Linked DNA regions of Mus musculus. The protein of the gene in region 2 interacts with the protein of the main gene of each other region in a biochemical or structural test. Links are inferred from orthologs where the notes say so. Each region holds a gene or a part of one and is shown on either strand. Other genes may lie near its edges.

Region 1 (4,786 bases), on a different chromosome or scaffold from region 2:
ACCCACTGTCAGCTGAGCAAATCCTTGTACTCTGACTTAAGCAGCAATAATGACCTGGCTGGGAACCAGAATACTGCTCTGTCTTTACAAATCTGACCAGTGATCCTCATTTATCATCTCAGGTGAAAAGAACCCTCACTCAGGAGCCCTAGCAAATCAGGTTAACTCTAAAGCAGAAAAATACCCTCCGCCCCACTGAGAAGGCTAGGCACAAAATACATACTGCATTTTATCTCTGAAATACACTCCAAATATTTTATTACCATTTTTTAAAGTTATACAGTACTCTGAAGGTATCATAGTGCTGATCCATATTTAACCGCTGAGCCACCTCTCCAGCCCTGAGCTCTGTATTTTAATAGCAGCCACCCCTCAACTTGAGACTCTGCCTTGATTCATATTCATACACACACACACACACACACACACACACACACACACACACGCACATATATATGAATGCTACCCTAAATTTTTACACACACACATATATGAATACTACCCTAAATTTTCTCCATAGTACAGTCACTGGTGAATTTTTTTTTCTCTTTCTTTCATTTGGTTCTTTAAAACCCTGTTTCACTCTATAGCTGGCCCAGGTTGGCTTTAAATTCTCCATCCTCCTGCCTCAAGATTCCCACTCCTCAGCCTGGAAAGAACAGCAATTACAGTCAGGTACAAGCCTTTGATCCCAGCACTCAGGAGGCAGAGTCAGGCAGATCTGAGTTCAAGGCTATCCTGATCTACAGGGAGTTTCTGGACAGCCAAAGCTACACAGAGAAGCCCTGTCTCAAAGCACCAGAAATTAAAAAGAAGAAGAAAAGGAGGAGGAGGAGGAAGAGGAGGAAGAGGAGGAGGAGGAGGAGGAGGAGGAAAATATAGCAATTACAGTGAGAAAAGAGAGCTGATATATAGTATTTTAAAATTTTATTCAGGACATACTTTCTTTGGCGTGTAGTTTCAAGTCTTAAAAATGTGCAAGCCACCAGAGCCCCTTAAAATTATCTTTATGTCTTAAAGATCAGTAGAATCAAAACATATTATTTGTGTTTGTGTGTGCAAGCACACACACACACTGGCAGACAAGACAGAAAATCTAAAGGAATAAAAGCCTACCATTTTGAATACTTCTTTGTACTGAAAATTTCAAAAAACAGTTGAGATATTAAAATAAATGAGTCACTTTTTATACGTGATAACAAATATTATAGTTATTCATTAGGCAGTCTCTAGGTTGTCCTTGTATAATCTCTCCCTATGGTTTATTTGTATACATTCTCTCTTTATATTAATGTTCTAAACTTACCTTTTGGGCATTTTCGGAGGCAGCAGAAATCTGAGCACATGACCTAGGTGCTTATATTTCAATCTAGTAAATTCTCTGTAAGGGTTTTAAAATGAGAAAACAAGAATGACCACTGCCAAAACCAAGCAGCAGATAGCTAAACATACCAAAACAATACTTTGTTTCAAAATTCCTGACTGTGCCACTATTGTCAAGGAGATACATTGTAAATTTTTATAAGTTCACCTAGAACACCAGAGATGTAACAAATACTATGTATCACTTCATAACAACTCCTGGTGTCCATCCACTTTTCTCACACAAACACACAAGAACACCCATAGTAAACTATATACTTTGTTTCCGGGGCTAATAGTGCTTTTATACAGTTCCTATACTGTTCCCATTCTTAAGCTACACACATTCACTTGTTCCAGGAAAACCAAATCCAATTATTTTCTTCAAAACCTGTAAGTTTCAGTCCTCCTGTTCACCTTCTGCTACTAAGTCATTATCAGTTAGGTAACTCTGAAGCTTTCCTGATGGAGGCATAGAGAGAAAAAAATGTACATGGGCAAAACAGTAAACTGTGGTTTAATTAAAAGCAGAATCATTCAGAATTAACAAGCAATTAACATGGAATTGAAGAATTCCTATGAGAGTATGTAAGGCGGGGAACTACAAAAAGGTCTCCAAGCCTCCGAGCAGAGTACATGACACAGTATACCAAAAGATAATGCAAAACACGGAAACGCTCTGATCAGGTCCCAGAAGACGTTTCTGGGCTAGAGAAGTTACTGGGGTGTTAAGGACCAGGCATGGGCAGTGCTTCTGGTTTTGCTAGGAAACTAGGATCTAAGAAAGCTTGCATTCCCAGGCAACCACCCTGGAAATAAAGCGTTACTTAATGAGGTAGGGGCCAGGAGTAAACAATGGGGGAAGGGAGGTCTGCCTCTTTACCTTTCAAGAGGATGCTGGTCCAAAGCACTCTGTTTATTGCTCCTCTGGTGGGTGGCCAGACCCCTTCTACTCGCGAGTGTCCTCCAGCAAGCTCAAACCTGGAAAACAGAAACCGATCAGTGGTGCAGTGATCCAGGGGCGAGGAGAGGGCTCTGAGGATGGGGGAGCTTAGCAAAGGCTGGAGGGTGGCAAGGGCAGGCAGGCTAGAGCAGGGCTTCTCCCCCAACCCCCACCCAGCCAGCCCCCTCCCCTCAAGGGAGGAAGAAACTGACTTTACCTGTGTCCTCAGTTGCAGCTCCTCTCTCTCCTTTCAGCCTCCTGCACATTCACCAACTTCTCCATTGAAGAAACACCCCAGGCAGGGCCGGACACCGTGTTCCTGATCCTCCTGGGTGCTTCACGGCCCCAACCCAGAGAGCATCCAGATAGTCGATCAGGCTGGGGGTGGCGGTCTTGGCCTCGGAGCAGCCTCCGGGAAGGGGCGCTGGGAGGAAGTGCCGGCTGGGTGGGGGGGGGGGGGGGCAGTCCCGGTCCAGGGGCTCAGACCAAGGGTCTGCCGCGCGCCGGGCCGGAGGCTTTCAGCTACCGAGGGACTCAAGAGGTCTGGGGACAGAGAGACCCTAAGTCATACCAGGTCCGAAGTGTCAGCAGCAGGGTGTCCCGACAGGGGGCTTTCGGGATGCACTTTGCACTGGGCCACCCCCGCCCCCTCCTTCCAGCACTTTGGGGTCACTGGGATGGGACCAAGCCTTCGACAGCCAATCAGCTGCCGCACTGGAGCCTGCGCTCCAAGCCGTAAACCAGATCCGCGGTGGGTGGGGGTTGGGGTAGGGGGTGGGGGCGACTTGGTTGGTTGGTTGCTTCCTTCTCCTCACACAGATGCCCCCACCCCCTGGCTGTCGTAAAGCTGCCCGCGGATTCGCGACAGTTAGAGGAGGCGGGCTAATAGAGGCTGGGACTTGTCTCCGATTGGTCGCTCTCCCTTCGTCCCCTCCGCTTCCCCGCAGCGGTTCTCCAGGCTCCACCCCCAGCCTGGAGACTCTAAGCGGTTGCTAAGAGACACTGTACTACGAATGGGGCTTCTACGCCTGCTGAGGGAGGGGCCGGCAAGGCCTTCCGTGGAGTACGGTGGCCTGGAGTAGGCAGCTGTGGGCACGAGTGGCCGGGCGATGGCTGCGTGGCCCGGCGGGATGGCAGCCAGGTAAGCAGGAGCCCAGGTTGAGCTGGGTGGCTGGAGCGACACGTGCGTGGCAGGCTGAGCGACGGGGGAGGCGACAGGGCCGAGAGCAGGCGATGAGGGCCCCTACTCGTCGTCGCTCTGCGGTGCTTCTTGGAAGCGAGTGGCGATGTTTGGTGCATCTGTCGGTCTCTGAGACCCGGTTAGCTTCCAGGCTGCCTCGCCCAGCCTGCGAGAGAGCACGCTCTTTGGGATCGCGAGGCTGGTTCAAGGGCTTGCCTGCGAGGATAGCGACCCTAGTGGTTTCTTGTGAATGAAAAGAGCCGGGGGAGGGGGGCGCAGAGTGGGCACATTGATACATTGTTTAAATGCATTGATTCTTTTAGCAAGTGTCTACTGGGTTGACACTACTCTAGTTGTTGGGGAGACTTTGTGAACTTTTCTTTCCTTTCTTTCTTTTCTTTCTTTTTTTTTCTTTTATCTTAACAAGAGAAGATGAAACTGCAGAATGATTAGGGAAAAAAAAAAACCCACAAAGTAATGGAATACAGTTTGACTAGGATGCGCTAGACTCTTAGATTGTGAGCCAGGTCTCCCAGAGAATGACATTTATGCTCTGTGAATGACAAAAAAAACTAGCCAACAAAGATCTGAGGGAAGGCCTTTACAAGCAGTTAATCTGAAGTGCAAAGCCTTTGGTACTTTAATAAGTTTAGGGGAACTGTGACTGAGTAAGGGGAAGAAAGATGGAAATGAGATTAGGGGGTGTGGGCAGACTGCAGATTTTGCAGGAATGTATAGGTCATGCCAGAATGATTCCCGTTTCTATGTTTTGCATTGATCACATAATAGAGAAAGCTGTTATGGGAATTGGATTCCTGGGGATGATGTAACCTATTGCGATATTTTGTTGCAGGTGGGAGTCAGTGTTCGATTTGCCTCTGGGTCTTTTTTTTTCTAGGCTGATACTCGTAGAAAAAGTATTCCTTTGATGTCTTCCACAGGAGTAACTTCTTTTTTTTTTTTTTTTTTTTTTTTGGGATTATTCAGACTTAAAAAGAGATTCTTTTTTTTTTATTTTTTTCATTTTTTATTAGGTATTTAGCTCATTTACATTTCCAATGCTATACCAAAAGTCCCCCATACCCACCCACCCCCACTCCCCTACCCACCCACTCCCCCTAGGAGTAACTTCTTATGTGGACAGACTAACTTCGCTAATTCCTAGAAAAGGTTATAAGTAAGAATAAGGGTTTGATGTGGTACCAAAACTGAAATATCTTGAAGACAATAATACTATGGCTTTGACAGGGAGTTTTGGGCTGGGCTGTCTATTCCTGACTTGAATATATACAAGAGTAGAT
Region 2 (4,533 bases):
TTCTTTTTCTCCTGAGACATGGTTTTATATAGCTAAGGCTGGCCTTGAGCGTCTTATTCTCTGGTGTCTACCCTCTGAGTGCTGAGACTACAGAAATGTGCCACCATGCTAAGCCTGACCATTTGTCCACTCTATCTTACCTCTGTGCCCTATGGCGCTTGGATGCCCTTTCTGAGTTGAGAGAGAATCTGGAGCTAGGGCACCTTTTCCAGGTGGTAGACTCCGCCCAATGAGTGGCACTCGGGTGGCAGGCTTGGGGATGGCTGAAGGGACAGGGAGTCGACTGGAAGACTTGACAGCTGCTCCCTGGAGCCGGGATGAACATTGGGAGTTGCTAGCTGAGGACTGTGGAACTGGTCTGACAGGAATTGGTGGGCCTGTGGACAGGAGTGTAGTCGGGTCAGGGTGGAGCTCAGCTCCTCTCTTCCCCTCATCAGCCTCGCCCACATCTCTGCTGCCTGGGTCTCACTTGCTGTTGTCCGGGCACCGAACCCAGTTTTCCGCCGAGGTGGAAGAATTGGTTGTGCAAGAGGAGAGCGCCCCGGGCTTTTGGATGCAGGGAACAGATTGCAAGTGGGTGATTCCTGAAACAGAACAAGGAAGGAAAAAAAAGACCAGAGTGGAGGCAGTCTGTGTTCTGCTGCCTTAAGGAGAGGAGATAGTAGGTAGGGCGTTGTCTAGAACCTATAAGGAAGATATCAGCCAGCAAGATCTACCTACCTACCTACCTTCCTTCCTTCTTTCCTTCCTTCCTCCTCCCCCCTCTTTCAAAGCAGGGTCTCTCTGTGTAGCCCTGGCTGTCCTGGAACTCACTCTGTAGATCAGGCTGGCCTCAAACTCAGAGATTCGGCTGCCTCTGCCTCTAGAGTGCTGGGATTAATGGCGTGCGCCACCACTGCCACCCGGCTACTTTCCTTTTTTTAAAGTCACTTTATATTTATTTCTTTACTGTATGTGACATACACATATGTGGCAACATGCATGTGTAAGTCAGAGGACAGCATGTGGGAGTGTGCTCATCACGTAGACAACAGTCCTCACATGTAGGTCACAAGGCTTGAACTCAGCTTCATCATCCCTGATGGAAAGTGCTGTTACTCACGGAGCCATCTCACCAACTTATTATTATTATTATTATTGTTATTATTATTATTATGTTTTGTTTTAAATGAGGGAGTCAAGTAGCCCAGGTTGGTCTCAAGCTCAGCATATAGCCCCCTGGGACTGACCTTGAATTTACATTTGCCACATCCATTCCTGTGATGCTGAAGAATCCAACCCAGGGCTTTGTTTAGGCTGGGCAAACTCTAGCCACCTGGCCAGGTCTCCAACCCAATTTGCTTAATCCTAAAAATTCCAGGGGATAATTAACTGTGTTCCTCTGCCCTGTATGGGAATGACACTACGCCTTCAGTGTCTCCTGCACCTTGTCTAGGTGTACGCACGCATGTCCACTCTCCACACTCACCTTCTTTATGCTGGAGGGCTTCTTTCCGGATGCCACCCGGACAGCCCTGGCTGACCCCTTTTTATCACTGCTCCGGAGCCCAGCTAGGCTGCTTGGAGGTGGGGTGCTCCAAGAACTCACGGTGGGCAGCAGATCTCGGACAGGGCTATCCTTCAGGACGAAGGTCTCCCGCCGAGGACTGGGTTTCCCTCTGGGGCTGGGCCTTCCAGGGCCTGTACCAGCCCTCTCCCGATCTTTCAGGGCACACTCCTCCAGCTGAGCCGCCAGGCGGTTGGCTTCATCAAGAATCTCTTCCAGCTTCTCTGGGCTGAGCGGGCCCAAGCTAAACCGCACACCCTGGAGGGCGGGAGCTACTTCATTTGGGTTACTCCGATGGGCGAGGCCCCGTCGAAGTGGTTTCTCTGGACTCACTAATACTGTTATGTCTTCTTCCTCATGACTGAAAAACAAATATGGCACCATGCTGGACAACAGCTAGCAGAAGGCATTCCTGTCGGCGAGTCGGGGACAATCCCCAACCCTGACTCCATTTTGGCCATGAGAACTGCTTTTAGGTGAGGAAAACTTAGTTCTACTCCCATTTTCTGAGACAATGTCTCAACTCTATAGCACAGAATGATCTCAAATTCAAAATCCCTCCTGCCTTCTCTCTCTCTCTCTCTGTCTCTCTTTCCCTCTCTCCCTCCCCCTCTCTGCACTCTAGTCTATCCTAGGAGTGTGGGGGTGGTTTGCAGGGCATGCCTCAACATGCCCAGGGACATTCATCTTTCATTTACATTTACCCCTAAATTTCCCTACAGCTTCTCTGTTCTCACCAGCATGTGTTCTAGAGGCCCAATTCTACCAGACTACTGCCATCAGAGGGTACCATACTCTGCTAGATTACCAACCACGGTTCTAGAGGCCCATAAGTTAGCAGTAAAGGGTTACAGATGTATTGCCGGAGGAAAATAATAAATGGATAAATAGGCTGGTACCTGTCAGATGGAGACAGCCCTCCGAAGTCCAAGGTCTCGTCCACAATGAACTTGATATCTGAAGGGATGAGAAGAATAAATGCCAGCTATCAGTTCTTGACAGACAGACTCTCAGGGGCCCGTTCCTCCCTCCATGGCTTCCTTACCCTCTTTCAGATCCTCCATGCTCAGCCAGCATAAGCGAGTCGGCTTAGACCTGAAAGAAAACATGCCTACCTCAGGTGTCTATCATCCTGCCTTAGGGCCCCATCAAGACTCGGAGTGCATTAGCTGGGGTGAAGAGGCATGGTGGTGGTAAAGCAGGATCAGCACGTGTCCCTGAAACTAGTCCGTTATATTAGGGAAAGGTGCAGAAAGCTCGACACCTGATGTGCAATCCGCCAACTTGCGCCCTGGCCTCTCCTCAGTCGGTCAGTCTTCACCTCCATCCTTACTATTATCCGAAATTTCGCTCCCCCCCTACCCCACCCATTTTCCACTCCGCGGCACCACATCCCCGCCACACCTCCAGCGCACACTCGGTTTCCACTCCCCACCTCGCTTCACAGTCTACGCAGGAAGCTTTTCTTCTACAATCTCCCAGTTCCCGGGAAAGGGCTCCCGAGGGGCGGAGCTTCGTTCGAATTTCTTAGGCTCCACCCAGTCCCGCCACAAACGCACAGCGATTGGTGAGTCCAAGGGGGCAGGGCTGAGTCGGGAGCAGTCGGGATGTCAGCCGGAGAAGATTGTCCCTTGGACCAAAGGGCACTTCCCAAAAAGGGTAGGGGGCTACAGCGGAACGGCGGGAGGAGCCGTGAGTGCGCGGTGGCGTGTACCGGAGCGCCTCCTTCTAACCGCGAGTCAGACAAGGGGAGAACTGTCGAACCAATGTAGGCTTGGAGCCCCGCCTCTTCCCCCACCTCCTGGATTCCAGCATCTGAGACTGGGTTTCCTTGCTGGGTTTCTCGCGTACTTGCAGAGACCACCAAATAGACCATCTCTCCAGCACTGGAGCCACAAGATTTCTTCATTTAGCATAAGGCCACTTCTCTGAGATATCTGGCATTTTTTTCTTCCTGCTTCAACCCCAACCCCCAAACGATGAGTATGAGCAGCTATTTAAGAGTTTAAATAAATAACAAAGAAGTCATTCTTCCAGGCAAACAGTAAGTAGTAATAATAATAAAAGATGTCAGAGCTGTGCTCCCTAAGTGCAAAAGGATTACCTATTGCTAAAGATCTTGTTCGTGTGAAGAATTTATTTCTTCGCCAGGATGCTGGAGATGTGTGCACTTTAATGGTGGGCCTGTAAAAGTTCAGCAAATAGCATGGTCTGGCGCATCCTTAGAGCACAGTCACTACCACCTTCTACCCTAGGCTTGCTTCAGGTTGGAAAGAAGCCTTTGCTGTTGTGAATGTTGTTGACTGGCTATGACCAGACCACTCCTCTCCATTCACTGATACACACACACACACACACACACACACCATCTGTTTCTTTTCCCTTTGTTTTTTGCTATTTTCTGAGACAGAGACTAGTGTAGCTCATGCTGGCCTTTGAATTCACCATATAGCCAAGGATGACCTTGAAGTCCCGACCCTCCTGCCCCTACCTCCCAAGTGCTGGGACTAAAGGCCTGTGCCACTCTACTCTAGGACCATCCTCTGAGACATCTGCAAACATCTGCAAGCATCTTCAGGAGTTCTGTTGCGCCTGCTTCGGAAAGACCATCACAGCTGGGCCTGTGGACGGTTTACCTTCCGTCATAGAAGGAGGAGGTGGGACAGAAGGTCACGGGACCTTCACCTGAGTATGCAGCCGTCCCTCTCAACCAGCTGTATGCAATTCTGTCCTAACTGCAGATGGTTTGGGGGAAGGGGCTAGAGGATAGAAGTGGGAAGAGGCAAGGGGAAGTCTCCTTAGGGAAGTCACCAGAGCTGCTTCAAGGTCATCCGTGCCTACACCCCTAACCCACTGCTCTGTAAGTAAGCTTATCTTATCGAGTTCATTGGTTCCTCTGCATAAACTCTGGGTGGGGGATTCCTCCTGTTGTTTGACTTTGGGGAGGTAAGAGAAGGTGTAGACAAGGTGGTTTATGTCTCTCCCAG

The links. The genes of interacting proteins can lie anywhere in the genome.
Region 1: of the proteins of Psrc1 (region 2) and Asb7, one has a biochemical effect on the other in vitro, tested with the Homo sapiens proteins (2 studies listed by BioGRID, with this or other methods). The link is inferred for Mus musculus from reciprocal best matches to the Homo sapiens genes PSRC1 and ASB7.

Annotation. Positions count from the first base shown.
Region 1 is NC_000073.6:66,686,578-66,691,363, forward strand, and holds the start of Asb7 (ankyrin repeat and SOCS box protein 7), read right to left. Parts: upstream 2,985-4,786; 5' UTR 2,523-2,984; intron 2,344-2,522; 5' UTR 2,246-2,343; intron 1,382-2,245; exon of another isoform or gene 1,307-1,381; intron 1-1,306. UniProt on the Homo sapiens protein: Probable substrate-recognition component of a SCF-like ECS (Elongin-Cullin-SOCS-box protein) E3 ubiquitin-protein ligase complex which mediates the ubiquitination and subsequent proteasomal degradation of target proteins.
Region 2 is NC_000069.6:108,382,344-108,386,876, reverse strand, and holds the start of Psrc1 (proline/serine-rich coiled-coil protein 1), read right to left. Parts: upstream 3,040-4,533; 5' UTR 2,951-3,039; intron 2,642-2,950; 5' UTR 2,611-2,641; coding exon 2,592-2,610; intron 2,504-2,591; coding exon 2,446-2,503; intron 1,908-2,445; coding exon 1,469-1,907; intron 585-1,468; coding exon 470-584; intron 378-469; coding exon 141-377; intron 1-140. UniProt on the Homo sapiens protein: Required for normal progression through mitosis. Required for normal congress of chromosomes at the metaphase plate, and for normal rate of chromosomal segregation during anaphase. Plays a role in the regulation of mitotic spindle dynamics.